Linked DNA regions of Daphnia pulex. The protein of the gene in region 4 purifies or fractionates together with the protein of the main gene of each other region. This does not show direct contact. Links are inferred from orthologs where the notes say so. Each region holds a gene or a part of one and is shown on either strand. Other genes may lie near its edges.

Evidence for each region.
Region 1: the proteins of COP9 signalosome complex subunit 3-like (region 4) and DDB1- and CUL4-associated factor 1-like purify together in Homo sapiens (affinity purification with mass spectrometry; 5 studies listed by BioGRID, with this or other methods). This does not show direct contact. The link is inferred for Daphnia pulex from reciprocal best matches to the Homo sapiens genes COPS3 and DCAF1.
Region 2: the proteins of COP9 signalosome complex subunit 3-like (region 4) and cullin-2-like purify together in Homo sapiens (affinity purification with mass spectrometry; 5 studies listed by BioGRID and IntAct, counting the BioPlex papers as one, with this or other methods). This does not show direct contact. The link is inferred for Daphnia pulex from reciprocal best matches to the Homo sapiens genes COPS3 and CUL2.
Region 3: the proteins of COP9 signalosome complex subunit 3-like (region 4) and DDB1- and CUL4-associated factor 11-like purify together in Homo sapiens (affinity purification with mass spectrometry; 3 studies listed by BioGRID and IntAct, counting the BioPlex papers as one, with this or other methods). This does not show direct contact. The link is inferred for Daphnia pulex from reciprocal best matches to the Homo sapiens genes COPS3 and DCAF11.
Region 5: the proteins of COP9 signalosome complex subunit 3-like (region 4) and DNA damage-binding protein 2-like purify together in Homo sapiens (affinity purification with mass spectrometry; 7 studies listed by BioGRID and IntAct, with this or other methods). This does not show direct contact. The link is inferred for Daphnia pulex from reciprocal best matches to the Homo sapiens genes COPS3 and DDB2.
Region 6: the proteins of COP9 signalosome complex subunit 3-like (region 4) and cullin-5-like purify together in Homo sapiens (affinity purification with mass spectrometry; 3 studies listed by BioGRID and IntAct, with this or other methods). This does not show direct contact. The link is inferred for Daphnia pulex from reciprocal best matches to the Homo sapiens genes COPS3 and CUL5.

What each region holds. Positions count from the first base shown.
Region 1 is NC_060022.1:4,446,859-4,451,713, forward strand, and holds the start of DDB1- and CUL4-associated factor 1-like, read left to right. Parts: upstream 1-1,687; 5' UTR 1,688-1,816; intron 1,817-1,993; 5' UTR 1,994-2,002; coding exon 2,003-2,115; intron 2,116-2,180; coding exon 2,181-2,328; intron 2,329-2,403; coding exon 2,404-3,082; intron 3,083-3,155; coding exon 3,156-4,084; intron 4,085-4,146; coding exon 4,147-4,395; intron 4,396-4,457; coding exon 4,458-4,679; intron 4,680-4,740; coding exon 4,741-4,855. Other genes in the region: mRNA export factor GLE1-like, read right to left, coding at 1-37, 134-484, 545-760, 824-987, 1,078-1,285. UniProt on the Homo sapiens protein: Acts both as a substrate recognition component of E3 ubiquitin-protein ligase complexes and as an atypical serine/threonine-protein kinase, playing key roles in various processes such as cell cycle, telomerase regulation and histone modification.
Region 2 is NC_060021.1:10,404,806-10,409,938, reverse strand, and holds cullin-2-like, read left to right. Parts: upstream 1-1,783; 5' UTR 1,784-2,146; coding exon 2,147-2,466; intron 2,467-2,529; coding exon 2,530-2,639; intron 2,640-2,698; coding exon 2,699-2,939; intron 2,940-2,997; coding exon 2,998-3,244; intron 3,245-3,305; coding exon 3,306-4,439; intron 4,440-4,528; coding exon 4,529-4,723; 3' UTR 4,724-4,985; downstream 4,986-5,133. Other genes in the region: solute carrier family 25 member 46-like, read right to left, coding at 1-150, 215-333, 428-564, 627-772, 859-915, 1,051-1,229, 1,287-1,396, 1,468-1,615.
Region 3 is NC_060025.1:8,379,474-8,384,334, forward strand, and holds DDB1- and CUL4-associated factor 11-like, read left to right. Parts: upstream 1-1,550; 5' UTR 1,551-1,658; intron 1,659-1,713; 5' UTR 1,714-1,716; coding exon 1,717-2,040; intron 2,041-2,103; coding exon 2,104-2,365; intron 2,366-2,430; coding exon 2,431-2,577; intron 2,578-2,643; coding exon 2,644-2,825; intron 2,826-2,888; coding exon 2,889-3,127; intron 3,128-3,193; coding exon 3,194-3,297; intron 3,298-3,360; coding exon 3,361-3,516; intron 3,517-3,583; coding exon 3,584-3,690; intron 3,691-3,754; coding exon 3,755-4,036; 3' UTR 4,037-4,477; downstream 4,478-4,861. Other genes in the region: glutamate [NMDA] receptor subunit 1-like, read left to right, coding at 1-202, 266-388, 448-599, 679-913; dnaJ homolog subfamily C member 25 homolog, read right to left, coding at 4,639-4,861. UniProt on the Homo sapiens protein: May function as a substrate receptor for CUL4-DDB1 E3 ubiquitin-protein ligase complex.
Region 4 is NC_060018.1:6,888,298-6,892,928, forward strand, and holds COP9 signalosome complex subunit 3-like, read left to right. Parts: upstream 1-1,590; 5' UTR 1,591-1,695; coding exon 1,696-1,750; intron 1,751-1,828; coding exon 1,829-2,101; intron 2,102-2,161; coding exon 2,162-2,379; intron 2,380-2,445; coding exon 2,446-2,640; intron 2,641-2,709; coding exon 2,710-3,021; intron 3,022-3,085; coding exon 3,086-3,199; intron 3,200-3,266; coding exon 3,267-3,446; 3' UTR 3,447-3,564; downstream 3,565-4,631. Other genes in the region: evolutionarily conserved signaling intermediate in Toll pathway, mitochondrial-like, read right to left, coding at 57-150, 226-678, 741-1,191. UniProt on the Homo sapiens protein: Component of the COP9 signalosome complex (CSN), a complex involved in various cellular and developmental processes.
Region 5 is NC_060018.1:5,111,445-5,116,312, reverse strand, and holds DNA damage-binding protein 2-like, read left to right. Parts: upstream 1-1,746; 5' UTR 1,747-1,876; coding exon 1,877-1,932; intron 1,933-1,995; coding exon 1,996-2,257; intron 2,258-2,336; coding exon 2,337-2,528; intron 2,529-2,582; coding exon 2,583-2,734; intron 2,735-2,809; coding exon 2,810-2,965; intron 2,966-3,034; coding exon 3,035-3,169; intron 3,170-3,244; coding exon 3,245-3,377; intron 3,378-3,448; coding exon 3,449-3,847; 3' UTR 3,848-4,032; downstream 4,033-4,868. Other genes in the region: large subunit GTPase 1 homolog, read left to right, coding at 1-70, 143-279, 359-461; RNA polymerase II subunit A C-terminal domain phosphatase SSU72-like, read right to left, coding at 541-642, 711-826, 898-1,037, 1,106-1,249, 1,372-1,448.
Region 6 is NC_060021.1:667,705-672,665, reverse strand, and holds the start of cullin-5-like, read left to right. Parts: upstream 1-1,863; 5' UTR 1,864-1,997; coding exon 1,998-2,018; intron 2,019-2,188; coding exon 2,189-2,398; intron 2,399-2,481; coding exon 2,482-2,670; intron 2,671-2,737; coding exon 2,738-2,879; intron 2,880-2,940; coding exon 2,941-3,155; intron 3,156-3,221; coding exon 3,222-3,315; intron 3,316-3,394; coding exon 3,395-3,525; intron 3,526-3,590; coding exon 3,591-3,758; intron 3,759-3,852; coding exon 3,853-4,002; intron 4,003-4,096; coding exon 4,097-4,221; intron 4,222-4,280; coding exon 4,281-4,411; intron 4,412-4,475; coding exon 4,476-4,648; intron 4,649-4,788; coding exon 4,789-4,950; intron 4,951-4,961. UniProt on the Homo sapiens protein: Core component of multiple cullin-5-RING E3 ubiquitin-protein ligase complexes (ECS complexes, also named CRL5 complexes), which mediate the ubiquitination and subsequent proteasomal degradation of target proteins.

The DNA.
Region 1 (4,855 bases), on a different chromosome or scaffold from region 4:
GAAACTTAATTCCGCTATTAGGTGTCTCCACGGAGGGCTGCTCATTAAATTTCATGAAAAATTTCATCATTTAATGAGTTAAACAAAGAAAAACTATTATAAAAAAATAAATAAATAAATAAAGCTTGGTTACCAGGAGCTCAAGTTTTGCTTTAGGTGTAGCAAATGGGGTATTTTTCTTTCGAATTTGTTGTTTTTTGTCGGGAGGTGTGCCTCGATGGGTTGCAGGGGAATGGTCTGCCGCAGCAGCAGTAGCTGAACCTCCGCTGTCCGCAGCTGTTATCAATTTCTGGAGATCTTGTGTTTTTCGTTCTCGATCTTTCTTGCGGGCTTCGATTTTCCTCAATTCTTGGAGTAGATTAGCTTCTTCCTCGACTTGTTCTGACGTACGTTCGAATAGCCTCTTTAACTGCTCTTTACGACGTTTTTCATTGTCGGCATCGTAAGCAATATTCTTTGGCTCTGGTCCTGTTGTATGCCTTGCCTTAAAAAAAAATATACAGTTATTTTTTTACTAGGTAACACAGACACAAATATCCTTTACCTTGTTTAATATGTTGCAGATATCATAATATCTCTCCTTCAAGTCTTCGATTGACCTTTTTGAGAATCGTGTACTATCCCAGCGGTCCTGAATAACGGTGAAACGAAGATCAAATTGCCGACAGAGGTCAAACAAATGATCTGTTTCTTGCTTTGTCCAATTATCAAGTTGTAGTAATTGATATTCTTGATCAGTGTAAGAAAATATATGGACTTGCTAAAAAAAAATATTTTTATATAAAAGAAATTTTCAAATCAATTAAAAAAGATGGAAATCAACCTTGTTAAATTTAGCAAATGGATACTCTTTCCCTTCATCTGCAGCTCTACGCCAATGGTGAAATACAGCTCCATCTTTCCGTGCTGGGTTAGTAAAGGGCATCCACTTCCAAGGTCTCACTTTACGGACACCTAAATGAGCTTTTGCTTGCTTGTATCCTTTACCTGATTGGAAATATTTATGAAATCTTTGGCATACAAATATTTCTTTCCCTTACTGGAAGCACACAAATTGCAGACAGACAAAGTTGTTACCTGTGTCAGTTGGAAATAGAGGAGCTGCATCTTTACTATCATTGACCAAAAGATTGAAAAGTTCTCGTGCCATTCCCTCAGGTTTACGTAAAACTTCATTTTTAGGTTTGTATTTAGGTTTCGGTTTTTGCGTTCCCATAATACTTTCTTTCGTCACTTCTGGAGTTCCCGGTCTCCCTAGCTCCAAGATATCCAAAACATCAGCCATTTTTACTTTATTCCTCTTATGCCCGACGTTTTGATCCGACACGTGTCAACACTTACGACAAGAATGTGAGTAACTTTCAAAGTTCAAACCACAAAATATTTGAAGAAAATGTCACATAACAATCGTAAAAAAAAAACGTCCACAAAGATTCACAAAAAGGACGACAAAAGCAGACACAGTTTTTTAAGCACGCTAGGTAACCATAAGAAAAGCTATTGTTGTCAAGTTTATTGAAAAATCCAATTGTGAGAAATATCATTCAATTTGTAATATGAAAATTTGCTAGAAATTTTAAAAATATTTTAGCTATAATTTTATCATTTAAATCTGTATTCTGGAGGTCTAACTTCCTCAAACAAGCAAACAATGGAATTCGCAAGAATTTTCCAAAATATTAATCTGACAACGTTTTTTTCTCAAGTCTGCACATAGAAATTACACAGAACGTGGTGCACACTTCTGCAGCAATTTCAAAGAAACTTAATTTTAATAAGGGAAGTTGTAGTTTCAGATAGACGTAACAGTTCGAAGGTGAGTTTTTGTTGTTTATAATGCAATAGTTTTTTTTTAACTTATGGTGAAGATTTGTGACCCATTGAAGTTATTCTACTCGTGTTGTGAAATTGTGATTGGGTTCCAAAAACGTCCTTTTGTGTTTCATTTTGGCGTCGATAAGTTTCAGCTAATTTGTTCTTATTTACATTTAAGTCATCCAGTATGGCGAACGACACCGTAAATCTGACTGAAATGTCAGATGTCAGTGCTATTTTGAGGTTATTTGAGGAACATCATGTAGCACCAACATTTGATCCTGTTCCCTATCTTTCTAGGTATGTGTTATTTGTTTTTTTGCAAGATTTTTTTTTTCTTAATCATGTTAATTTTTGTTTTCAAGACTGGCTGAACTTTTGGAAACAGAAACAGAAAATTACCTAAAAATGGATCCAGATCCTTTTGATGATCGTAACCCTTCTAGGAATCCAAATTGCAGCTTTGGACACATGCTTAAAATAATATTCAAGAAGGAAATTTTTATGCAAAAAGTATTATTTTCATTTACTTGGCCTTGATCTTCATTCTAAATATAAATGCTATTTTTTCATTTTTCTTAATATTAGTTAGTTGGAGACTATTTACGTGACACTTACTGGACCAGATTAGGCATTTCTACCAGAGATTCAAGGGAACTCAATACAGCTGCAGCTCGTCTTGTTCTAGATTTAATGCCAGGCTTAGAAGTATCTGTGGTGTTTCAAGACACAGAAGGATTGATCAACAGACTTTTTAGTTGGGCAGAAAAAGGTCCAGAACCACTTCAAAGCTACGCTACTGGTTTGCTAGCTGCTGCGATGGAACTACAAGACTTGGCTGCTAACTTTCGTGAGTTAAACGCTCATCTAGCACCGTTAATGTTGAAAAGGTTATGGGAAATCCAAAAGAGATGTGCCGAAGAAAAGAAAAATGACGAACTCGGAAAAATCAAAAGATTTTCAAAATTTTCAAGCGACCAACCGAGTACCTCGAGCAAAACCCCAAAGAATACGGCGAGTAGTAAGAGTCGAGCATCTTCCAGTTCAAAGGTCCCAAAGGATGAAGATGCTGAATTAATGCCTGGACCAGAACCGGCCGATGGAGCCTCCGATAAAGGAAAATTGCCAAAGAATAACAAAGCAAAGAAATTTCAAGGCAGGATTAAAGGTTCCAAAGAGAGAAAAAGTGGAAATGCATCTCTGAATGGATCAGCTATGAATGATTCTAGCAACTCGTCTTGGGCCGAAATGGAATCATACGTCATCGGTAAAAGATTATTCTCCATGCAACAAGTGTGTCTGTAAAGTTAAAAAACTAACACTTCTTACTTTATTTATAGGAACGTATCAAATGCATCCATTGACGGACTCAACTCGGCAAATCTTAATCTTGCGATATTTAACACCCATGGGTGAATATCAAGAGTTACTAGTTCACATGTTCGAGCAAAAGGCGCTCGACCTTATTCTTAACTACATCGACTTTGACGAGACCCAAGATTCGCGTTTATCGTTCGAAGCACTTAAATATCTCGGAGCACTGCTTTGTCACAAAAAATTTGCCATCGAGTTTATTCATCATCAGGGATTGCATCGCTTACTTGAAATTCCACGGCCGAGCATTGCTGCAACTGGAGTTGCCATGTGTCTTTATTACATTGCGTATTGCGAAGATGCCATGGAGCGAGTCTGTCTCTTACCAGATCACGTCATTCAAGAGCTAGTCCGATATGCTCTTTGGCTACTGGAGTGTTCGCACGAATCTGGACGTTGTCACGCTACCATGTTCTTTGGGACATCGTTTCAGTTCCGCATTATTTTGGAACAGTTTGACGCCCAGGATGGTCTTCGCCGGTTGTACAATATGATCAGCACTTTGTCAATACTTTCAATGGAAGATGCAAGTGATTTGTTGGATGATGACGAATCTCATGCTGCACGCCAAACCGTTCGACACGTCTGTGCGGCGCTAAAACGATACTTTGAAATTCATCTGGCTGGGAAAGTTGAACATCTTCAACGGATCAGAGTTCGTGAAATGGGTGGTTCTCCCCATCCGTCAACACCTCCCTACAAAGCAATCAAGCTTAATGCAGATCAAATTATCGATCTAATCACCACTGCTCAAGAACTGCTTCCGTTTCGGGCAAGTTGGTCACCCGTCAATGAATTTGTTAGCCTCGGGGGTATCCCTCTGCTTCTACAAGTTATTGCAATATCCTACCTATGGAATTTTACCGGACGTGCCGAGACTGTTCGCAGCGCTTTGGTAAAGAAATTAAATATATTCTTAAAGTTAAATTATTAAATATATTTTATTTTATTTTGCAGGATGTTTTAGCCGTTTGTTCTGTTTCTTTCAGAGTTCAGATGCTATTTTGTGATCGTATTCAAATTCCGGATGACGCCAATGCTGTAGGCATTAATATTCTACTTGGAGCAGCTGAAGGAGACATTGTAGCTGACCCCGAAGTTCAGCGTGCCGCTCTTTGCGTACTCATTCACTGCGTTTGTGCTCCCGTCCATCGAGTTGGAGGTTCTGTCGGTAGATTTAATGGCAGTGCCAAAAGACGCAGCGTGGTAATTTCAATGATATTTTCTTATTGTAGAATTTATGTATTTACGCATTGTGCTTTGTATAGGCTAGTCGAACGAGCGAAGAGGTTCTCAACCAAGTTTGGGAGTGTGTACGATCCCACAATGGAATCATGGTGTTAATGGACCTTCTATCTGTTAAAACACCCATTACGGATGCTGACTCGATTCGCGCTTTAGCCTGTAAGGCCTTGTTAGGTCTTGCACGCAGCGAAAATGCTCGCCAAATCATGGGTAAACTACCCTTGTTCACCAGCGGTCAATTGCAGGTAAATCATAAAAAATAATTTCTTATTTTGTAAATTAATATCAACCCAAATTCTGTCTCAGGTTCTCATGAGAGAACCAGTGTTGCAAGATAAACGTCAAGAGCACGTCAAGTTCCAGAAATTTGGATTGGAATTGTTGGAACAAGTCTCCGGTCGAATCAAGTCCAATGTCAACG
Region 2 (5,133 bases), on a different chromosome or scaffold from region 4:
CCCAACCCTTTGTACAGACCCCACCTCCCTTCTTCGCGGGTAATTGTATTCCAGCAGTCGAAAAAGCCATCATAACGTGTTAGAATTGGTATAACAGATGCACCGGTGTCCAAATTATCGATAATAGTACGTGTTCCTTGAATATGCAGCCTGTTGAAAATTCAGAAGGCGTTTAAGTTTATTATTTAAATTCAAAAAATGAAAATAATCGTACCTATGGAGAACTGTCTCGAAGGGAAAGAGTAATACGTCCGCCACTAACGACCCAGCAAATCTTGAAGACAAGTCAAGATCGTTTGCTTCGACGAAACTCACTTCTTTAGAAAGGGCACCCTGAAATCAAGTGAATATTAATTATTTCAATATAGAAAATTCCGAGCGTATTGAAAATATCAGAGTTAAATCAACAGTTACTACAAAAACCTACCTGTTTACGCTGGCTTCGTTTTTTAGCTGAGGTCATTCCCCAGCGAGTCAATCCCGCTGAAAGCACTGAGACGATGTAATGAACCGTCCCACATAAAACAGCAGGGCACAAAATAATCCATATTGGTAACAATCGACCTAAAAATATTTTAAATGATGCAATAGAGAATCCTAGTAAATATTTTGGAAAAATGTTTTACCTGTTTGGGGGGCAGACCAGCTTAAGAACCTATAAATCCCTTCTTGAAAAACATCAAAGATACCCGGCTTTTCACTTGCAATATCAGATTGAACAGTTTCTACAACACTTGCTGCATAAAATGGGATCACGACAGCTAGGGAAACGCTAGGGAACCAAAAAATAGATTTAAAAATTCTTTAGATATCTGCTAATAATTGTCGTATGACAATTTCAATGTGTTTTTGTGATACCTTTTCAAGAGGATGTGGTGTCCAATTGCTTTCAATGAGCTGTTACGATCAATTTCTCTAAAAAAAAAAGAAAAAAAAAACAAAAACAAGTGAATATTCTGTCAGTCTAAATATAAACACACACTGGCTATTTCAATGAACACAAGAGGACAGCTTACATGGCAACATTTGCCACTTTATATGCTAAATTACTTTGGCCATGGTGTTATCTTGCTCAGTACATCCTCAATGGCTAATGTGAGACCTCTCACAATTAAAGCACTGCCAATTCCTTTCCATAACACAGTCATGCTTTGTCTTTGGTGTAGCCTAATGACTACTGGGACCAAGCTGAAAGGTAGTGTATGGTATTTTCTAGAAAATACATTAACCTACAGATAAGCAGTATTAAAAAATTTACTATCAAATTAACGTAAAGAATTTTTCACCTGACACTGTCTTCGCAGAACTAAAAATGGATGGCATAGTAGATTTTCAGCTGCTAGTCTCATAATACCAAAACTGGGATTTGGGATTCTACTTGCATCAATCATATCATCTTACAAGAAAATAAAAATTATGTAAAGTCATTGCAAAAAAATGTGTGATGATAAAAGTCACTGTTAATACCATATCTATATTTCGGCGACGTAATAGCTTTGTTTTCATGTTGTATCCTACCATCAGTTACTGCAGAAGCAGCAGAATCAGCTTTTTTTATCCAAAAGGGAGAATTTTCTAAACTGTAATAGAACGAGTAGTCCTCAGTTCCAGCCATACTAACCTGTACACTTGATTTGATATTAATGTTTATGAATTCCAAGTAAAAAAAAAACAAACTATTTTCGTATTATGGTTAACTTTTTCTTTCGTGATACGCAGCAGACGAATAACTACTAATAATGAGCTGCCATCTGATGATAAACTAAACAACTTTTCCGTTTCTTCGCGAAGGCCAAAGGGGCCAGAGCAGACGAACCCACACTGCGCAATCGTTTTATTAATCTTCAGAATCCTTGTTCTGTGAAACCAATTGTATTCTTATTTAACCCCAGGGTCTTAAGATTCTCGAGTAAATTGATTATTCAAGGAATCTGAAACTTTGTCCTTCATTTACGATACGAAAAACAAGTAAATAACTTAAGGTCTTTTCATTGCTATTGCCAGTAGTCATTGCATGATCGTTTGTACGAAGATCAGTTTTGGTTTTCTCCCGTTGAACTTGGAAATAGGGACTCTGGCTTTTTTTGTAAAATTCCTATGATCCACTTTTTGGACTTTGATTCAGCTGTTCTAATAACTGCACAAAATGTCTCTTAAACCGAAGCGTGTAGACTTTACCACAACTTGGGCTGATTTAAAGGAAACAGTTAAAGGTGTTGTAACTCTGGGAAATGTTCCTCATACTATATGGTACAATCGATTCAGTGATGTGTATTCCCTCTGCGTGGCTTACCCAGAACCTTTAGCTGAGAAATTGTACCAAGAAACTAAAAAGTTTTTGGAGGAGCATGTTAAATCTCTTTTCATCCAAGTGAACGGCACCAGTGAAGAACAGCTTCTGACTGTGTATTACACACTTTGGCAGCAATATAGCCAAGGAATGGACTATTTGCACAAACTTTACTCGTAATTTATTCATTTCTTTTCTCTAATAAAACAAGTTAATACATGCTTTTAATTCAAATACAGATACCTTAATACCCAACACATCAAGAAACAAAAAGCATCTGATGCCGAGCTTCTTTATGGGACATTGTCTTATGAATCACCTGAACAAATGAAAGAAATCGGAGAATTGGGTAATCACTATTTGTAATTTTTTTGGTGTACTGAATCCTTATCGAAACTTGCTTGCTAGGTTTGGATTTGTGGAAGAAGTATATGATAGAGCCATTGAAAGCCGACTTGCTGAGATTACTTTTGGGAGGCATACATTGTGACCGAACTGGACAATCTTTGTATAATGAAAAGTCATCAACAATTCAGGGTGTGATTCAGTCGTTTGTTTCAGTCGAGGAATACAAGAAGAAGAACACCCTCGAACTTTATGAGGCTGTTTTTGAAGGGCCATTTCTTGAAGCGACCGGTGAATACTACAAGTAAGAAATAATTAAAATGTTAAAAATTTGCATATTACAGTTGTTTGGTCAAATTTAGGCAAGAAGCTAGTCGCTTGTTACAGGAATGCACAATTTCCTTGTATATGGAAAAAGTTTTGCAACGTCGGGACGAAGAAGATTTACGTAGTCGGAAATTCCTGCACCCAAGCTCTTACAGTAAAGTTCGAACTGAATGCGAAAAACGAATGGTAGCAGATCACTTGGCGGCTATCCACAACGAGTGCCCGACAATGGTTCAACAAGAACTCCAACAAGATCTTCGAAATGCGTACGCGTTGTTGAAGGTGAGAGCTTATCTTATTGCCTCGTAGTATAAATTTTAATTGTTTTCTAAAATTTGTTCAGTCGATTCCGGGAGGTTTGACTGTTCTGGTGTCGCACGTCATGGAACACATCAAACAACAAGGATTGCGAACAGTGACTAACCTGTCAGGAGACAACATTGCTGCCCAGTTTGTAGAGGGCATGCTTAGTGTCCACTCCAAGTACAAGGAGATCACCAACACTGTTTTCAGTAATGATCAGCTATTTAGCAGCGCTCTAGATATGGCCTGTGCTGCAGTCGTCAACCATCGCTTCAATACTAAACAAAATTGTAGGTCTCCAGAACTACTTGCCAAGTATTGTGATACTCTCTTGAAGAAGTCAACAAAAGGCGGTAGTGACACCGAAGTTGACGATAAGTTAACACAGTGCATTACTGTATTCAAGTACATCGACGACAAGGATGTTTATCAAGCTTTTTACTCACGGAAGTTGGCACATCGATTGATTTCACAACAGAGTCAAAGTATGGACGCTGAAGAGGCAATGATCAACCGATTGAAACAGGCATGCGGATATGAGTTTACCAACAAACTTCATCGAATGTTCACGGACATGTCCGTCTCATCAGACCTGAACAACAAGTTTAATCTGCTGAACAAAGATCGGATGATTGAATTAGGTCTCAACTTCTCCATCTATGTCTTGCAAACCGGTGCGTGGCCTAGACAAGTCTGCCCTACCGATTTCGCCGTACCCCAAGAGTTGGAAAAATCGGTCCAAGAATTTGAAGATTTCTATCGTCTACAGTTTAACGGCCGGAAGCTTGCATGGCTACATCACTTGAGTTACGGAGAGCTGAAACTGAACTACTTGAAAAAGCGTTACTTCATCACCATGGGAACCTTCCAAATGGCAATGCTTCTTGTCTTTCAAAAGACCAATTCCGTGACTTGTGGAGAACTCATGGAAGCCACGAAGCTTAACTCGGATCAATTCCAAAAGGTCCTTCAGAGCTTAGTCGACTCAAAGCTTTTGGCAGTAACTAGTGACACTGTCGAAGTTTTCCAACCATCTACAGTCATTTCCCTCAATATGGATTATAGTAACAAACGAACCAAGTTTCGTATTAACAACACTATCCAAAAGGAGACTGTCCAAGAAACCGAGACGACGCATTCTTCTGTAAACGAAGACAGGAAAATGTACCTTCAGGTAAGAATTATACGAATATTTTAGCGTAATGCGTTAGAAATCCGAAAACAAACTAAAGTTTTTTTTTTTTTTTCATTTGGCTTTCCAAGGCTACAATCGTTCGAATCATGAAATCTAGGAAGATTCTTCGCCACATGGTCTTAATTCAGGAGGTGTTGAGCCAGTCCCAACCCCGATTTGCTCCTCCCATTTGCATGATAAAAAAGTGCATTGAGACATTGATTGACAAGCAGTACCTGGAGCGTACCCCTAATTCAACGGACGAATATAGCTATGTGGCATAGAAAATGCAATCTCAACGTTAGTTCGCAATATCATGCTGTAATACTTTGGCGTGAATTTTTGAAATTGTTGAAAAGAAAACCGCGTCGAGATGGTAAGGGATTGTTGGGCCTTTGGGGTATTTCTCATATTGTACATGAATAATTTTTCCATTTGATATTTTTCATCGGTTTTTCCTTGCTGTGTGAACTTAGAAATTCTTACTTACACACTTTGAACATCGTTTAAAGTGCAGTATTAGAAATACAAAGCATACAAAATAAATGTTGGCAACTACGGAAAAGATTTTTAAAAGATAAAATGCACTGTTATAGGCAAGAAATTGTATTATAGGTAAAGTTAAACAGCTTTAAAATAGTCTCAGATACTACACTACTTGTAAAGTTTGGCGGACACGTGATTGATATTACAG
Region 3 (4,861 bases), on a different chromosome or scaffold from region 4:
TAATCGCTTCTCATTTCGGGTCCTGACTGGAGTTTGGGTTTTGTGCGCTATGGTTTTGGTCAATTGTTACACTGGAATCGTCACATCTTCACTCACAACGCCAAAGATGAAACCGACCATAAACTCATTTGAAGACTTGGCCGCAAGCGAAGAAGTTGGTATAGTTCTGCGAAGTGATACGACGATCGGAAATCAGATCCTGGTGAGGTCATTTCTCCTTTATTTTCTAAATCAAATCCTCATAAGCTGTTCCTGGATTCACTAGAAGGCGACATCCGGTATTTATAAGGTTCTTGGGGATGAAGCCCGACGTAATCCTAATCAAATAGTTGACAATCCTTTCAAGTTGACCGCAACACTGGAAACTGGACGCTACGCTTATCCTTATGTAAGTGTATAAAGACAGAGATTAACATGATCAATTTTTGAACTTTTCTGTTTCATTAGCTGCACTCTTTATGCTATGCCTTTGTCTGTTCTCAATATGAGAAAGACGGGATGTGTCGCTTTAAATTATCGAAACTTTTGCCCGTTTCCATTGGATTTACGTCTTTGTTTTTTAAAAAAGGAAGTTTGTTTACTAAAGATATGGACAAAGGGTATGTAACCATTTTAAACACCCTAAATTTTTACATCTTGATTTTTTATTTATTTATTTCAATCCTAATATATTTACAGACTTATGGAACTGTGGGAGAGTGGACTTGTCCGTTTATGGATTAATAATATTCATTCTACTCCCAAGGCGAAACAGTGTTTTGCCGATACGAAACGTGGAGTCACCCGCGTAGTCCCCATTCAACTGTCGGACTTAATTAGCGCTTTCTTTATCCTTGCTATCGGTATTGGATTGGCGACGCTGAGTTTCTTACTGGAAATAATCCTATCAACATTACGTCGAGAGAGGCTTTAGTTAATTTAAGCATTTATTGCAGCAGGTATGTGCTGCACTACATCAATAGGGCACGTTGTGTAGTTTCTAATAATAGTCTTTTCGTCTAATAATATCCTCTTTTATATATTTATATATACGTCTTAAACAACCTTTACCGAATTTTAATCCGTTTTTACTTCTCCTCCTGGGGCATGCGAACGTTTTTAGCTTAGTCTTGTAACTCCTGATACGAATTAACTAACTAGCAGTTGATTTGCTAGAATACACATTTGTTTAAAAGTTTGATTGTCTCAAGAAATTTTATTGGTTGCTACAGTGACTAAAAGAGGCAAATTTAATGCTGCCCAACGGTAGGTCGGTAGGTAATGAGGAAAGACAGGATAAAGTTTATTACACGTGAAGCTCAAGTTATCGTCGTAATTCAGTAATTGTAATGGAAATAATTTTGAAATCGTAATAAAAGGCCTAGCTTCTAAGATATGACAACGAAAATCACTTGATTGCAATCCTGAAAAATTTGGTTGGTATGAATTTGGTTCATGCGTTGGTTTTTATCAGAGAAAAAGAAAATGAGGAAGAAAAGGCTCAATTTCAAATTTTGGCGGTAATTTTTTCTCAAAGGTTTAGAATTTCAACACTAGATGTCGTTTGCGTAAAGCTTTTTATCAAACATTTGCTGTCGTCTGCCTAGTTGCGTGACATTTTTTATCGGGTTAACTAACTTTGTTATTGAATAAACGGTGAGACAACAATCTACCTTCAAGTAAGAAGCCGAATCACAGCACGTTATACGTTTACTGATTTAATTGTCCCAACAGAAAATGAACTCTGACGATGAAGACAGAGACAGCAGTAACAGAGATACTTCATCGATGTCGGACGAAGATTCTGATACCGACATAGCCACAGTTCTTACCCAGCTCATCAGGAGGTTAGTTAGTTATCCCTTCATGATAGTAGAGTGGCTTGCAGATCATCTTAATATTCAACAATTCTTTCCCTTTCTGGGAAACCACAGTGGCCGAGCTCACATTCTTTCAGAAAGAAACTCAGTATTTGAAGAAAGAAACGAGTCTTTCTTTGATTTCCTTCCAAATGCCCAACCACCCCCTGTTGACAGCACACCTGATTTAACTGTTCTTGAGGTAAAATGAGTTTGTTTAGACATAACAAGAAGGTACCTCTTTTTAATACCAGTTTTTCTCTAGGGGACTGATTTGTACTTATCAACATCTCTATCATCAGGAATCTACAAGCACGGTTGCAAATCCCATTCCACTCGTGTGACATCACTACTGTACCAGCGTCAAGTAGGGATGAAGGGTACAGGGCATTTTTCTGGTGGAGACAGGAGCTATATTGGCCACAACTATTTGCCTAACAAATTCAAACAAGTTGCCAACTGCAATCACAAAATGTTTTGCGGGACATATTCTAAAGATGGCAATATTTTCCTCAGCGCTTCACAAGGTATTACAATTGACTTTGTGTTGCGCAAGAAAAGATTTAATCTTTGCTTTTCTTCAAATTCATAGATCGAGTTATCCGTGTGTTTGACACATCAAAAGGCGGATTTGATTGCATAAGGAAAATCCCCGCCCGAGATGTCGGATGGAGTATTCTAGACACAGCGTTCAGTCCTGATGGACGTTCCATCATTTATTCTAGTTGGTCGGAAGCCAGTAAGTACCTTGAAACATAATTCGACTTAGTAAAAATGTTGTTAATGCGTTTGGTTCCATTTTCAGTCCACCTTTGTAACATTTACGATGAGGTGGAAAGACATGAAGTTCTCCCACTTTCCCCGGAACTCCGACGGTTTTGTATTTTCAGCCTTACTTTTTCTCAAGACGGAAATGAAGTATTGGGTGGTGCCAATGACGGCTGTTTGTACATTTACGATTGCGAAAAACGACAGAGAACGCTCAGGGTAAAATTACTATTTTGTTTCGTACCCACCAACAGTCCTTAATTAACCTCCCATCTTGTTTAGATTGATGCCCACGAAGAGGACGTGAATACTGTGGCCTATGCTGACGAAACTTCGCAGATCCTATTTTCTGGAGCGGATGATGGATTATGCAAAGTTTGGGATCGTCGAACGTTGGCGGAAAACGGAGAGGCTAAACCGGTGGGCATTCTTGGTGGCCATGTTGACGGACTTACGTTCGTCGACTCGCGTGGAGATGGCAGACATTTGATTACAAATAGCAAGGACCAATCCATCAAGCTGTAATCTCAATACTTGTTTTATCTATCGTAAAAAAAAAAACATTTAAAAAATGTGCGATTAATTAGATGGGACATGCGCAAATTCTCAGGAAACGAAGTTCAACAAAAGACTAGAATGCTTATGAACGCCCAAAGTTGGGATTATAGTTTCCAAAACGTTCCGTGGAGGCGTAAGTTAACTTTTTGTTATTGTTTATGTTTAAAATCTCAACTGAATTATTATTCTTTGGCAGTGGCTTCTCCCAAAAACAAGATCGCCGGTGATACTAGTTTGATGACATACCGCGGACACAGTGTCTTAAGAACTTTAATCCGATGCCGTTTCAGTCCAGCATTTAGCACTGGGCAACGATATATTTACAGTGGTTGTGCAGCTGGAAAAATTTTCAGTGAGACCCCAATAACCTAGTATTATCAATCTAAACCAATTTAATTTTTAAATATTTGCAATTTTAGTTTATGATGTCCTGACTGGAAAGCCTGCAGCGATTCTGACTGGTCATTCTGAATGTGTTCGGGACGTCTCTTGGCATCCATACTCCATGGATATTATCGATTCAGCGGTATGAAATATTATTTCTAATTTTTCTCTATGAATTCCCAAAGTTTAATCAACCGGGGTAATAGTGGGACGGCCGACACTTCAAGTGGTTCCATTCCTCAGCCGATTCCGAGGACGAAATGGATTTGGACACGGAAGAGTACATTACCGACAGCGAATCCAACGATTCCAATCCTAATTGGATGCAGAGGCAGCGCCGCTCATATCGAGATGACGACGCGGCTGATGGCGGAGGTGATCGCGAAGTGCGTAGGAGTCCACGACTGGCCGCTCGAGCAACTCCACAGACGGCCCGGAGAACGTCACAGAGGCAGCGACAAGCAGCCAGCCGCCGCCCTCTTTCATAAGTCTTGTCCGCACCATATATCCTTTAATACAACACACTTGTTTCGAAACACTTCATAACTACAAAAAAAAAACGCAACGCAGTCATTTGTTTCAATTCTGTGTACAGTTATTGGTGTTACCTTTAACTGAAGCAGGCGTGGTGCGCTCAATTCACGCGCTTCTATCGATACGTTAACCTTCCCTCTTTTATTTTACTTTTTTGTGATAGATGATCAACTTCCTCCCGGGTACGATGCATCTAGTTGTGCTGGATAATTTGATGCGTGTGAAACTCTCAAGTAAATGAGAGTGGAAATTTCCAAGAACAATTCTTCTTGTTATTTGTATAATTATTTTTTTTTTTTCATTTTTTTCTCCTGGGTCTTTTATATGTTTATAAAAAAAGGTCTACGTGTACTACTTTTGGGAAGACGGAAATACAGGGCTAAATTCTACGCCAATACGGATTTCTACTCAGCAGAGATTTACAATAACTGCAATTTGATATTTTTGTATTTCGTCAAACAAGGGCGTGAAAAGACTCACTGTCATATGAGATTGGTAAATCACAACACGGGATGAACTTGGATGATGAAGCCACCTAATTTGTCAAATATCTTGATTATGAATCGTCAAAGGTGAGTCGGCTCGTTCCTTTCTTCATGTAACGTCTGTACGCTTTGTGGCGAGCAGATTGAGAGAGTTCTCGTTTCAGATCTTCTTCCTTCTCTGCCTTCCAATCGACTGCATTCGACTTAATCCAAAGTTCCAGTTCGAGATATTCTTCTCGGGTATGGTCCTCAAGAGCATCGAATTCGAGCTGAGAAAGCTTCAGGTTCTTCTTG
Region 4 (4,631 bases):
AAAAAAAGTATTTATCTCATAATCAACACATTTGATGAAGATTAATATTTGTTTACCCATCTTCTTGTTCATGAACTGAAGGTTGAACAACGATATCTTTCCGAGTAAGATTTTCTTCCCCAAACATCCACGAACGCAGTTCACTTACATCTTGAACAAATCGAAGAATAAAATTAGAAAACTAGAATGAAGAAAATTGAAACTAAACTGTTTCAGTACACATACCATCATAATCATATTCATTCTGCTGTTTCTGCTCTTCTTCCGTTAACGGAACAGGTTCAGAACGCAAAATAAAGTAATTTATACTGGTTCTTCTTAACCAAATTGTGAAAGCGCCTTCAACGTAGACGGTTTGCTTTTCTTTGAGTTTGGCTAAAAGGTCTCTTTGATTGGCGCTTTGACCATTGACGATCCAAGTATCGTCAATGGCGTCTTGCAACTCACTAGTCTGAAAAATGTTCATCTCTGTAGCTGGATCAACACTACCCATTCTCTGGACAGCAAGTTTTGCTATTTCAAGATTTGAGTTAGGAATCTTTTGGGGGAGTGCCCATGGAGATTGGTTTTTAAACTTAGGCATCCAATAAGCCATCCTTCTAAGTTTTTTGGTGGGAGCTCCATGGCGACCAAAAATATTAAGAACCATTTGGTCAGTTTCTTTATCTGGACAAACACCTAAAAATGAAATAAAAACACATAAAATAATTTAAACTGATTTGAGGCAAAGATATTCTAACCATTGTTTTCCATCTGTTCCAGAACATCTATTATACATTGCTGTTGTTTTGGATAATGCATAAATTCTGCTTGAAACATATTTGTTGGAATATATTTTCCCTTTGGTAATATATCAATGATGTCTTTATATGCTTCCAGGTCACGATGCACACCAAATTCTTCCATTTCCTTCAGAGCAGCATAGATGAATTCCACTTGTGCCCTACGGGGCCCTGGTCTTGTTGTGTAAATTTTTACAGCTTCTAAGAATGTGTCTTTATTTCTATCTCCTTCTGGAACATAAAACATAGAAGGTCTAACAATCAGTTCGTTGGGTTCTTTATTTTTAAAATGAAGACTATTTATATGAATGTGACGGATCTGTAAGCATGGCAGTAGCTTGCAATTATGAACTTGAGGTAAGGCTCTTTGGAGAATTCGATTCAAACTTAAACCAAATTTTACTGCCATTATAATACTAATGGCTATTCAAAGCAGGAAAATAATCAACAAAATTCGAACTATTTGTAAAAATACCAGAAATACATAGAATTGTCACAACAAATTCAAGAGTAGGCGAAAATGGGATTTGTTATTGTTTTTTTCCTCTTTCAACTTTTAACGTCTGCTAAAATTTCAACTTCATTGATGATAGATGGCAGGGATTCATAAAAAAAGTTTCTTATTTGATTAAAAACTTGATTACTTTCGATTATTCATCATCAAATTAGAATAAAATTAAATCGCGGTTATTTCGCTTATAATTATGTTCATTTTGTTTTTAAATTATTCAGTAAAAGTGTTTGTGTGATCCTGCCGCCACCCGCCAGTGGTGCTACTTGCATCTACGAATATACCCTCTATTGGCGCGTTTATCAACGAATAAAGACAACTGCAGACGACGTTTGCTGGCTCATCCAAATATTTCTCTCTTCAATTCAATATCTTTCAATCTAATATTCTTCAAATTTGAATATGGCGTCATCCCTAGAACATTTTGTAAATTCTGTTCGTAATCTCTCTGGCGAAGGTTTGTTTTGAACGACAGTTGTATTTCATAATTTGTGGACACTAAAAATATTCAATTTTCTATGTATCAAACTGATAGGAAGCTGGCGAGAACTATATGATTTTCTCGGCAAGTCGCCCGACGTACTCATGAGGAATTCCGAACATTTAGACACTGTTCTGGATACTCTTGACCCACAACTTCACAGTCTAGGTGTTTTGGCAATTTACATGGTAAAGTTCATGATTCTCAACCAAAATGCAGCTCAAAATCAAGGAATTCAAGTTCCAGAACCCGAAGTGCTCATCAGTCAAGTCAGTCAGTTCATCACAGTTTGCAATGGTGAACAAATTCGCTGTGCTCCTGACTCATGTAAGCTTCTAATATTGCACTCTTACAATTGAATAATTCATAATAAATTGTTCTGTGCAGTCGCTGAGCTGTGTAACCAGTTTACCCAATGCCTAGTGGAACGAGAGACACCTGCCAGGGGTATTGTTCCCCTTACCAAAGCTATTCGGAAAGCCAGAATGAATGAAACACAGCTGACGTCTATCCACGCTAGCCTTCTCCAACTCTGTTTGATGGCACAGAATTTAAAACCTGCCTTGGAGTTTTTGAATGTTGAGATTTCTGAAATCAATTCAGAGGTAAATTGCTTTTTCAGGTTCTAGTGCACTGATTACAGAAAATTCTAATGACAAATGTGTTTGTAGAATGGATATTTTGATGCCAAGCATTTCTTGCTCTACTACTACTATGGGGGAGTTATCAACATGGCTGTCAAAAACTTTGAGCGAGCCCTGTATTCATTCGAAGTAGCTTTGACGACACCATCTTCAGCCGTATCTCACATCATGCTGGAATCGTACAAAAAGTACATTCTCGTCTCACTCATTCTTCATGGAAAGGTATGGATCAAATAGTCGCGCAATGTTCGTTCAATTTCCGATTCACATTGTCATTTGAAACGAGACTAGGTGGCACCTCTTCCCAAATACACATCTCAAGTGGTTAATCGGCTCCTGAAACCCATGAGCGCCATCTACCACGAAATCACGACGGTATTTGCTACCAACAAGCCGACGTCACTGGAACTTGTCCTCCAAAAGCACCGAGAATTGTTACAGCGTGAAAATAACTGGGGTCTGGCCAAACAAGTACAACAATCGCTCTACAAGAAGATTATTCAGCGACTGACTCAGACTTTTCTGACGCTTTCGCTCAGCGATATGGCCCTGCGAGTTCAGTTGCCCAGCGTGATGGAAGCGGAAAAACTCGTCTTGACCATGGTATTTGCTTTCAAGATGCTAAAAGATGACGATCAAACTATGTGTTTGTTTTCTTCTTCAAAAGATTGAAGATGGGGATATTTACGCCAGCATTAGCCAGAAAGACGGGATGGTATTGTTTCACGACAATCCGGACAAATACGACAGCACTTCAACTGTTGAGCGCGTTCAGAAAGAGGTATTTCGATAGTAGCCGGCAGAAATGTGTACCAGATAATTGACCTCATGGCTACTCGTTTGGGTAGGTCAACATTTGCATCGAGCTGGACATGCAGGTGCAGAAGATGGAGGAAGCCATCTGCACGAACCCGGTTTTCGTGAAGAAGGCGTCAGGTGCCATGGAAGAGGACGATGGAGGGAGGAGTTCAGCTTCGTCAGCCCTTCAGGCCGGTGCGGCAACCAAAGTTCCCTCCTTCTCCATGTGATCACCTATGATGCTCTTTAAAACACCAACTAATCCATAACGTCTCGATAAAATAATTACTTTCACATTTTTTTGTTAAATAACTAAGTGAGGATTCATACACGGATTAAAAACAAAAATTTAGTTTTTTTTTTTCAAAAATTGTATTGATAAACATCACACATAAAACTGTACACGATTTCCAACACACATAAATTCCAAAGTCAGACAGTCTGTCTATGCATCTAGTCGAGGCCATCCACAAAATCAGCTTTCACAATGATCTCAGAAATTCAAACAATATCTGGCAGATCACTGAGAAAACTAGTCTCGAGGTTTAAAAGCCGAAAATTCACACTGTCGGTAGAGCAACACACCCACACATGGCCGAAGCCGACTGGATACTGTTTGCTTGGTCCAACGGCGGATGAATGGAGAGCCCCAACTTCGAGGAGTGTCTACCACCAAGAGATAGAGGGCGCGCGCGCATTGATGTGATAAGATTAAAAACGAAAAACGCCAAACTGTTTGGAGGCAGGCGGAGATGTGTGTCTGCTAAGTGGCCTAGTAGACGAATAAGTAGGAGAAAGGTTGTAAATAAAGGAAGGACATTAAAAGAGAAAAGATGTGCGCATTCCAATGAACTTTGTCTGTCCCACATTGGTGACCGGTAAAAATGCAGACGGGAAAAATACAAAAAGGAGGCTGTGTGAGCCTGCTCTCTCTTTCTCTGCGCTTCGAGAAAGTCCGCATAAGGTGCACACAAACCAGTTTATGACGGAAAGGGAAGCCTACAATACCCAGCAGAAGATAATGAAAGAACGATATTTTAAGAGCGCCGTATTTATGCAACGGCAGTTGTTCAACAACAGATATATACAAGGTGTTGAGGGGAGGGAGGGGAGAGACTCGACAACGTTGCCGTTTCCTTCCGCATTCCGTTCGTCGTCGGCGGAGGGGAGAAGCATCTTGAAGAAACTAAAAAAGGGAAAGACAAAATAAAAAGGGATAGAAATACACACATGAGGAAACAATTAGCTTGCAGGATTCCAGCCCAGACTTCCGGAAGACAAGAAAAAAGATGAAAAATACACAAAATGGAAAGAAAAATAAAAAGAGGCAGTGATGGATCCGAAAGAATCCTAAAAAGAATCAAAGTTCAAGGATATTCCGCACAAGGCGGAAAGGTTGGAAGGCGCAAGGTCAT
Region 5 (4,868 bases), about 1.8 Mb from region 4:
TAGAGCGGGAAAAAGCAGACCTTTAAAAACGACTGCAGCTCCAACACCTTTTCAATTAAGAGTCACCAAAGTATGAATTTTTATATTTTTTTTTTTTATAAATCAACAATATTTTATTTATTTTTTTGAAATTTGTCAATAGACCAACTACAATAATGCTCAGTCAATTGACCAAGCATTTTTCAGCCAGTCTTTGTCAACTGCACACAGTAAAGGCCGCGCATCTACTCCAGGTGAAACTCATACTAAAGGAGTTGCTGCGAATTCCAATTTTCCAGGGTAAATAATTGTTTTACCTCAGTTAAATTAAAGAAATTATAATAATAATAAGTATGAAATGTCTTTCTTTTTTTTTTAGATCTTGTACCACTTTGAATGAAAGTGATAAACCTTGGAAAAAACATAACAAGAAACATAAACGAGAAAAGCTTCGTAGAGTATACGCTCATTTGGATCAGTGAGCCTGTGTATCAAATACTGGAAATACAATTTGATGGTCATACTTCGTTTTTCTTTATATGGTAATATATGAGATGTGTATCAATAGAACAGAAGACAATGTAGTATTGGTCGTTGACATTTTGCTTCAAAATCTTGCAACATTTCATCAATATCATTATCAAGGTCATCACTGTTGGCCATCTAAATAACCAATTTAAAACACTTTAAAATAGCCATTAAAATAAAAAAAAGTTGCTCAATATTATTACCATGGACACCAATTCACACATGAGAAATGCACCTATTGTTGCCTCTTCATGGTTGTCTTGAATTTCAATGTTTACCACATGAACAGGAGTAGTCTGACTGTCTCTGCCTTCCAAGCCTTTTTTTAAATAAAATAGATGAACTGATTATATCTGAATTCTGAAATAACAACAAATTTCTCATTATTACTTTCAATCACTTGATCATAAACTCGTTCTTCACATGTAAGAATAAGATTAAATTGTTCTGTAGTCGACTGAAACCTCTCTGGGTGGGGTTTAATTCTCCTGTTTCTGTCTAACATATGAAGAAGTCCATTTCTAGTATACCTACAATAAAAATGTGTAATTGTAATGTGGATTCCTTCAAGTTTATTTGCATTTGAAGTTAACTGTACAATTCTCTATCCTTCTGCAAGAGATCTTGATAGATGTCATCATAAGGTGTCCCAAATTCATATACATTGGGTCTGTCAGGGGCTGCACCTGGTAATTTCACTTTGTCTCCAGTTCCAAATGATTGCACTCGATATCCTTTCTTGCTAAGGAAGTAATATAATAAACATTTGTTTAAGGTTATTGCGTGACAGATAACAGAATACTTCAGTTTAGAAAAGAACAACAACGATGCATAGCTTTCCGAAATAGTTAACATACAAAATACCTCAAAAAATTATGTGCTTCCATGCTGCGATTCATGTTACTTGAACAAATAACAGCTAATTTTAATGGCTGCGGCATTTTCTTTTTTATTTATAAATTGTTTAACACGACCGAAATGAATGATTCAATAAAATCAAGCAGACGAAACACCATCAACACTAATTACTCCCGCTAGGTTTCATTCCCAGTAATCTTAAAGTTATAAATGGATGGAATGTATCAGTTGATAGGCTTGAACCAAAAATTTTGTGTTAAAAAACATAGTTTGATTAGATTTAATTTATCAAAAGCTTAACAAATTCCACTTCTAATCAAACAATTATAGTAACATTTAAATCCGCTTGGGTGGGCATTTTTGTTTTTTTTGGTAGCAGACGTCTTTTATTTCCACATGGATCAGTATGAACCGGGTAGAAGTGTAGAACGTTGAATTGTTGAAATACTTTTCAAATATATTGGATGCAAACTTGAAACTTCCTAGCAAATGACTGATTTGTAAGGTCTATATGCAAATGGCACCACAAAATAAGAAAAAGAGTTCTTCAGCTCCCAAAAGGAAAAGGTTAATTAGAAAATATTTATTTTTGATACTTTAGGCAATATCGTTTGTTTTATGATTTGATAGAGATTTCTGTTCAGATCAATCGGATGACGATTTTGAAAAGACCTTAGTGCCCAAAAGATGTAGCAAATCTGTTTTACCGAAACCTGAAGCTAAAATAAGGGAGTCGGCTAAAATAAAAAAACAAACAAAATCAGATATTGCAAGTTGTTCAGTTGGTGATTTGGAAACCGCAATTAATGTAAAACCTCTCTCCAGAAAAAATTTCTTGTCATACATTACAAAAAGACAAACTGGCCAACCAATTTCAAGATGCTTTGAAAAGGTAGTATTACTCTACAATTGATTTATCAAGAATTCAACATATATATATATTTCTCAACAAACTGCTACATCATTTTCAGACCCTGAAGTTTCATGTTATGCAAAGTGTGCAACATTTGAAAGTTTTTAAGACTGCATCTCCTTTTGACCGTAGAATTACTTCCTTAGTATGGCACCCAAAGTCACTCACCACTCTTGCAGTTGGTTCCAAAGGAGGAGATATCATTCTGTGGAATCATCAGCATGAATCTCATGATGTCTTCATACAAGGAGTATTTTTCATAAAACTTAATCAAATAACATAAGATTTTATATTTATATAAAAGTTAGGGGCAGGGGGATCAATACAAGCAATGAAATTTGATTATAATGAAGATAATCACCTCTACACCTGCTCAATTGATGGAACATTCTGTAGGAGGAACTTAAGAAGTAACCAAGTTACTGTTTACTTAAACACCGGAGAAGACTGCTTCAAGTAAAACTTTTTGTTATTTAAGAAACATAATCTGGGGGTTTAGGCTTAGTACCTAATAATACCTAATATTTGTAGTAATTGGTACACCTCTTTTGATGTATCCTTCACTGGGGGACTTCTGCTTGCTGGAGATAATAAAGGATATGTAAATTTGCTTACCAAAGACGGGACTCCTATATGGAAACAACGTTTACATAAATCAAAAGTGCACCACATTGAATTCCACTCTGGGTAAGTTTAAATTGTTGGTCAACAAAACTGAATGAATTTACTTTCTTTTTTATTATTATTACCATTAAGAACGCCTTGGCTATTTGTCACATCGTCCGGCGATAATTTCGTTCGCTTGTGGGATGTGAGAAATATAAAGAATACCGAAAGCGCGCTTGTAGAACTTAAGCATGAAAAGGGAGGCGTAAATTCTGCGTATTTTAGGTACTTTTTTTTATGGAAATGATTTTTGCAAATGGCATTTTATTGAAATTCTATTTATCTTTTCGTAACTACTAGCCCAGCACACGGAACAAGGCTCTTGATTACAGATCAACACAGCGAACTGAAAATTTTTTCTGGCCCACTTTGGAATTTGGAAACAAAAATTCTCCATCCTCACCGACATTTTCAACACATTTCGCCTATTAAAGTTTGATTTTAAAATTTATAATATTTAAAATAATTTATCCTTTATGCTCTTTCGCTATATTGGATCGACAGGCAGATTGGCACCCATTAGAAGACATTATTGTAGTTGGACGATATCCAGACCCCAAGTTCACGGGCTCACAAGGAATGGATACATTTAATCCAGGAAGTGAACCCCGCACTGTGGATTTTTTCGACGCATCTGACGGGGAGCTGATTTGCCAGCTTGAGCCAGTTGGACAGAAAGGGATCATGTGCTTAAATCGGTTTGATCAATTGGGTAACATATTAGCATCTGCACATGGGGCGCATATTCTTTTATGGGCACCAAAATACTCGGAGACAAACATTCCTTCTACTAGTGATATTTGCCAAAGTGTTCAGGCACCAATGCGTCGTCCTCTTACAATGGATAATGATAATGATTTAAAGAAGAAAAAAAGAAACACTTCATCTCGAAAACAAAAATAGTTGAATATTACTAAAAATAAATAGAGAAGAACCTGCAATCTTTGTTGTAGGATACCGCTTCCTTAACTGTTCAAAACTATTTGTTTCTTTGTTTGTGTTACCTAAAATTAAAACTGAAAACAAATCAAAAATAGGAATTACCTGAATAGTTTCTGCGAAGTGCGAATACATCGGTTTCATAAAAATTGGCATTTCGGTTCTCGATCGTAGTTACTCGTTATTAGTAATTTGAGATCAGGAATAATGACATTATTGTAAACATTAGATTTGAGATGTGCACCTTAAAAGAATTTGGATCGATCGATCAAGAAAGAAGATCGACCATTGGTTAAAATGGTAAAATGGGATGGATAGATGGGATGGGGCCTTTATTTTTCTGAATGTTTTACTCAAGCAGTAGGTAGCAATTAACTTTAGTTTAGTGCATTAATGTTGGAATGTTTATTGTAATATTTTCTCTAGATTCAACATGCCAAAGTTAGTTGGAAACCTAACTCAAACTTAGATAACCGTTGCTGCTGCCTTACAGCCACTGGCAGGAAAATTATTCTTTTTTTTTAGAAAAAAAATGGAGTGGTGGAGTTCTATTGTCACGTAGTGGAGTGGACATTAGAACTCCACTACACGACAATAGAACTCCAATAATTTTTAAAATTTGAGTTTTATTGCCGACAGTAGAACTCCACTAGTACCACTACGCGACAATAGAACTCCAATATTTTTAAAATTGGAGTTCTACTGTCGGGCATTGGAGTTCTATTGCCGGGTATTTGTAATCCGCCGCAGTTGTAAATGTGAATCATAGATGGCGATGAAACTTGTATTTTAGTCTGCTAAAAAAGAGTCAAATAAAATGTCTGCAATCGTCAACCTACGTGTTTTCCGTAATTTCAGCAGGTGTCAACTAGACCCATTTCTAATTATCCCACATCATTTCGTCAAAATGAAGAAATTCAAAAAGTGGATGGTAACTTTCATCTTTTTAAAATGGCGCTTAGTATCATTAGATTATGTACACGTG
Region 6 (4,961 bases), on a different chromosome or scaffold from region 4:
AGCGAGCTGCCACGTTGACGCCACGAGTAAGAATGAAGTCGGGACTAGGACTCAAATGTTTCTCAAGGGTAGAGTGCACGAAATACGATCTATGTCTGATAAGGAATTTTACATCTGCTGCAACGATTTCCCCCCTCCGTCCACGTTTAGAAAAACTTTTTGACGCACCCCTCGAGACTGTCGACAACAGAAGACGGGAGTCTGGGACGATTTGTTTAGAAACAAAGAGTCCGCGCAATTTCTAATCATTCCGTCGTGTGAGCTTTTCCCCCATTTATACAACACGATATCAAGTGAAAGCAGCGGTTTACACGACTCTTACTCGACCAAGTTTAATTTTTGAAATTTATTAACTCTTGATCGTGAGTTTTCCCGATTTTGAATATATCAGAAATATCCACAAGATGATGTAGGAATGTTATAGAAATCGGAAACGAACTCTAGCGCCGTTTCTGTGCGACTTCTGCTGGCTTATGTGAACACATAGCGTAACACACACATATTAAAAAAGCCGGACGCTGACCGGGGCATCTGTCTCTGAGGAGAATATAAAAGAAAAAGAGAAATCTAAACATTGGAAAAGCTTCTCTAGTTCTCTTTACACGGTTCCAGCGTTTTCTGGAAAATTTGATGCGGGGGGTGGGAAAATCAAATAAGAGATAATTCGATTTTAAAAAAAATGCATTTCTCAAATAGTAGATTCCGATTTATTTAAGCGAAAACAAAAATTTTTGTTTATGACATGCGAGACGGGTGGATGATTCGACATGGTACGTTCTTGATTACAAAAATTTGCGGTTACATTCGTACTGGGCAATTCTGACTGCTCTTGGAAAGCCAGACATTATACAAGATTGACGCAATTCTTCTTTATAAGGTTTTTAAAAAAAAATGGAGAACGAGGCTTGAATACGGACGAAAATATCTTCAATGCTCATTTGCATTTTTGCTTTTAGCGATTGTCGAATAATGAAAACAAAATAGTCCGCGTAGTTTTATAGGATCTTGATAAGAACATCAGCAGCAGAAAAATTTAACTCTTCTGATGTAGTACTCATCGGCGTTTTCTTTTGATATGTAATGTTAACATTTTTGTTTTGGAAATCATTTTTGTAAGGTCATATCGAGATTAAGCCTTGGAAAGAGGAAAAACAACTATTTATAGAGATTGAGTAGCCTGCAGCAAGCAATTGAAAGGGAGTGCGGAAATTGACTGTTTTGTTTGCGTACTATCAAAGCAGCTTGTGATCAAAGTAACCTTGATACGTGCGTATAATAATAATGTTGAATGCCACATCAATTATCACATTCACTACCAGTTGCAGTTTAATTATAAGCTGTAGCCGGTCCTGCAAGTATACTTGGCCAAATGCGTCTCACGTACGCTTTTATCATGAGTAAACGAGGAAATAACGTGAAGTGGAAGAACAGACGGGGATAGCCTGGGAACTGGGATAGTAGCCATAACATATTAATGTAGCATTGACGCAACAGCCATGATGAGCTGCCCACCATCTACTGGTTGCAAGAGTACTTACTAAATGTTGGATAAATATGAGAGACACATTTTAGCCACAGATAAATTCCTCGATCCATCCGGATAGATGATAGATAAGACTCAGATCTCAACGAAATTAATATAAATTCGAAATCTTTAACTACGAGACATAATAAAAAGTCAGCGACAAAATTTTTACTAATTAGTTTTAAATACTTGTGTCGCTTATGTTCTTGATTCACTAGTCAGTGGTCGTTACCACACAAATAGATGAAGAATCAAACAAAGCAATAAATCCAAGCCCGTTTCTATGCGCTCATTGGCGCTCGTTAAAAAATCAAAATTCAAAAAGGTCATGGCAGATGTCGTGGCAAGACGGGGCTTCAGTCCGGTATTCCGATTAACCGGTTAACTTCGACAGCCTACTGGTAGAGTGTGTGTGTGAGCCGATGTTAAGAACAGGAGCACTGAAAAACGGCTAGACCATCAAGAAATAGAAATGGCAGCATCAATGTGGAAGGTAAATAAAGAACTAGTAAATGTTTTTATTTGTTATGAGAAAGAAATATCAAGTCTTTAGATTATGCACTTGCAAGTAGTGTCATGATTCATAACCTCATCAACAAATTCGTCGATCGAAATATATCGCATCAACATTAACCAATTAAAATATGTTTTCTTACTTTTAAGGATAAAGGACAATTGGTATTTGAAGAACAATGGCCTCTTATGAGACCAACAATTTTGAAACTGTTACGTCAAGAGCCTGTTAGTCGAGCTGAATGGCATGAACTGTTTTGGTCTGTACACATGGTGTGTTTGTGGGATGAAAAATCACATGCCAAAATGTACAAGGCATTGCAGGATGATATTCTGGAATTCATCAAGCAAGCACAGACAGTAAGTTACATATTCCTGTTGCAATCGGTGTAAATGATTAAAATAATTGAGATGCATCTATTAATCCTCTTTGTTTATATCAGAGAGTACTAACTCATGAAGAAGACCAGTCACTGTTGAGGGCTTACATCAGTGAATGGCGTAAATTTTTTACCCAGTGCTCATATTTGCCCATGCCTTTCTTCCAGCTTGAAACTGCACTTCAAGGTAAAACACACAACTCAATACAGAAAAAGCCCCAGCAAAACACTGATGACAGTCTAGTCAGAAAGGTAAACAATAAATACATTTTTAATGAATAACTTGTTTTTTGATAAATATTTTGTTTCTGTGTTTTAGCTAATGTTGGATTCCTGGAACTTTAGTATTTTCTCCAACATTAAAAACCGATTACAAGACTCAGCAATGAAATTAGTCCATGCTGAAAGAAATGGAGAAGCCTTTGACTCACAGTTGGTCATTGGAGTGAGAGAGTCCTATGGTAAAACATTTCTATGGCAAGATATTGTTTCAACTGCTTAATATTTACTTACTTCCTGCAGTTAACCTTTGTTCAAATTCTGAAGATAAGTTGACCATTTATATGGATAACTTTGAGAGGGCTTATATAGATTCCACCGAAGCTTTTTACAAGTTGAAAGCTCCTCAATATTTGGAAATCAATGGTGTTCAGAATTACATGAGATACGCAGAATCGAAACTACGCGAAGAGGAGCAGCGAGCCAATAAATATCTAGAATCGTGTTCCATTGCTACTGTACTAATGGCTTTTTATTACTTATTTTAAGATTTGGTTATAATTTTTTTAAATCTTTCTTTCAAGCTTAACGGATGTTGCGTAAATGTCTTGGTGACAGCCTTCAAGGAAACCATTCTAGCTGAATGTTCTTCTATGATTAAGCAAGACGAAACTCAAAGTATGTTTACCACATTTAATATTGAAAATTTACAGTGTCGTAGGTGGAGTTTGAGTAACATTTAAATTTTTAATCACAGAATTGCGTATGATGTTCCGGTTGATGGATCGAGTCTCCGATGGAATTGCACCTATGCTAAAATATTTAGAAGATCACATTATTCACGCAGGATTGGCGGATATGATGGTGGCAGCTGAATTAATTACTCAAGTACATTGATAGACTAGTGTTAATGTCTTCATGACTCATTCATAATTTTTTAATGCTATTGGTAGGATTCTGAAAAATATGTGGAACGACTTTTGACACTGTTCAATCAGTTTAGCCTCTTGGTTAAGGAAGCTTTCGACGATGACCCGCGGTTCCTTACTGCTCGTGATAAAGCTTATAAACATGTTGTGAATGATACTTCAGTCTTTCGATTAGATTTACCCACTCGATTGGTAATTTCCTGTTTCTGTTTACCTTTGCTTTATGCCAAAAAAATTTTTCCGTTGACATTAAACTAACACTTTAAAATTAAAATTGTGTTTTCAGCAAGGACCTGGCTCCAGTGGAGGAGTCAAAACCCAACCTGAATCTCGTTGCCCAGAGCTGCTAGCTAATTTCTGTGACATGCTTCTGCGTAAGACACCTTTAAGCAAAAAACTCACTTCCGATGAAATTGAAAGCAAACTAAAGGATGTGGTAAGATAAAAAAAAGTTGGTGTTGTCACGCTAGCATAGTAATGTTTTCGTTTGATTAAATAATTATTCATATGCTTCATTTGTTGCCATTTAGCTACTTGTTCTGAAATACGTTCAAAACAAAGATGTGTTCATGCGGTTCCACAAAGCGCATTTAACTAGAAGATTGATCTTGGACACCTCAGCTGACAGCGAAAAAGAAGAAAACATGGTTGAATGGTACACTAACTAATTTTTACGTTCATTTTGCATTTTTTACAATTATTTTCATGAAAAAGGTTGAGAGAAGTTGGCATGCCAGCCGACTATGTTCACAAGCTTGCCCGTATGTTCCAAGATATCAAGATCAGCGAAGACTTGAATCAACAATTCAAAGAGGAATATAGGAAGACCAAAGGAAGCATTGCTGGTAATACCTCATAGAAAGGGCGCATAAGTTAACATAAAGATTAATTTTTTTAAACGATTACCAGACTCGATTAACATTAAAATCCTGAATGCTGGAGCTTGGGCTCGTGGATCTGACCGAGTGACAGTGTCGTTGCCGTTGGAGTTAGAAGACTACATACCAGAAGTGGAAGATTTCTACAGGAAAAAGCATAGTGGACGAAAACTTCAGTGGCATCATCATATGTCAAATGGAACTGTGAGTCTTCCTTATAATTTATAAATTATTTAAAATTCTTCACATCCAGATCTTTGGAAGAAATAATCAATCACCGAATATGTGATTATCGTTACTTAATACCGAGTGCAGCCGATTCTAAACCTTGTATTTCATTTTAGATTCAGTTTGCCAATTCAGTTGGAAGATTTGATCTGGATGTTACAACATTTCAAATGGCTGTCCTATTTGCGTGGAACGAACGACCGAAAGAAAAAATTTCTCTTGAAAACTTGCGTTTAGCAACTGAGTTGCCTGATGCGGAACTTCGACGAACTCTTGGGGTATACAAATG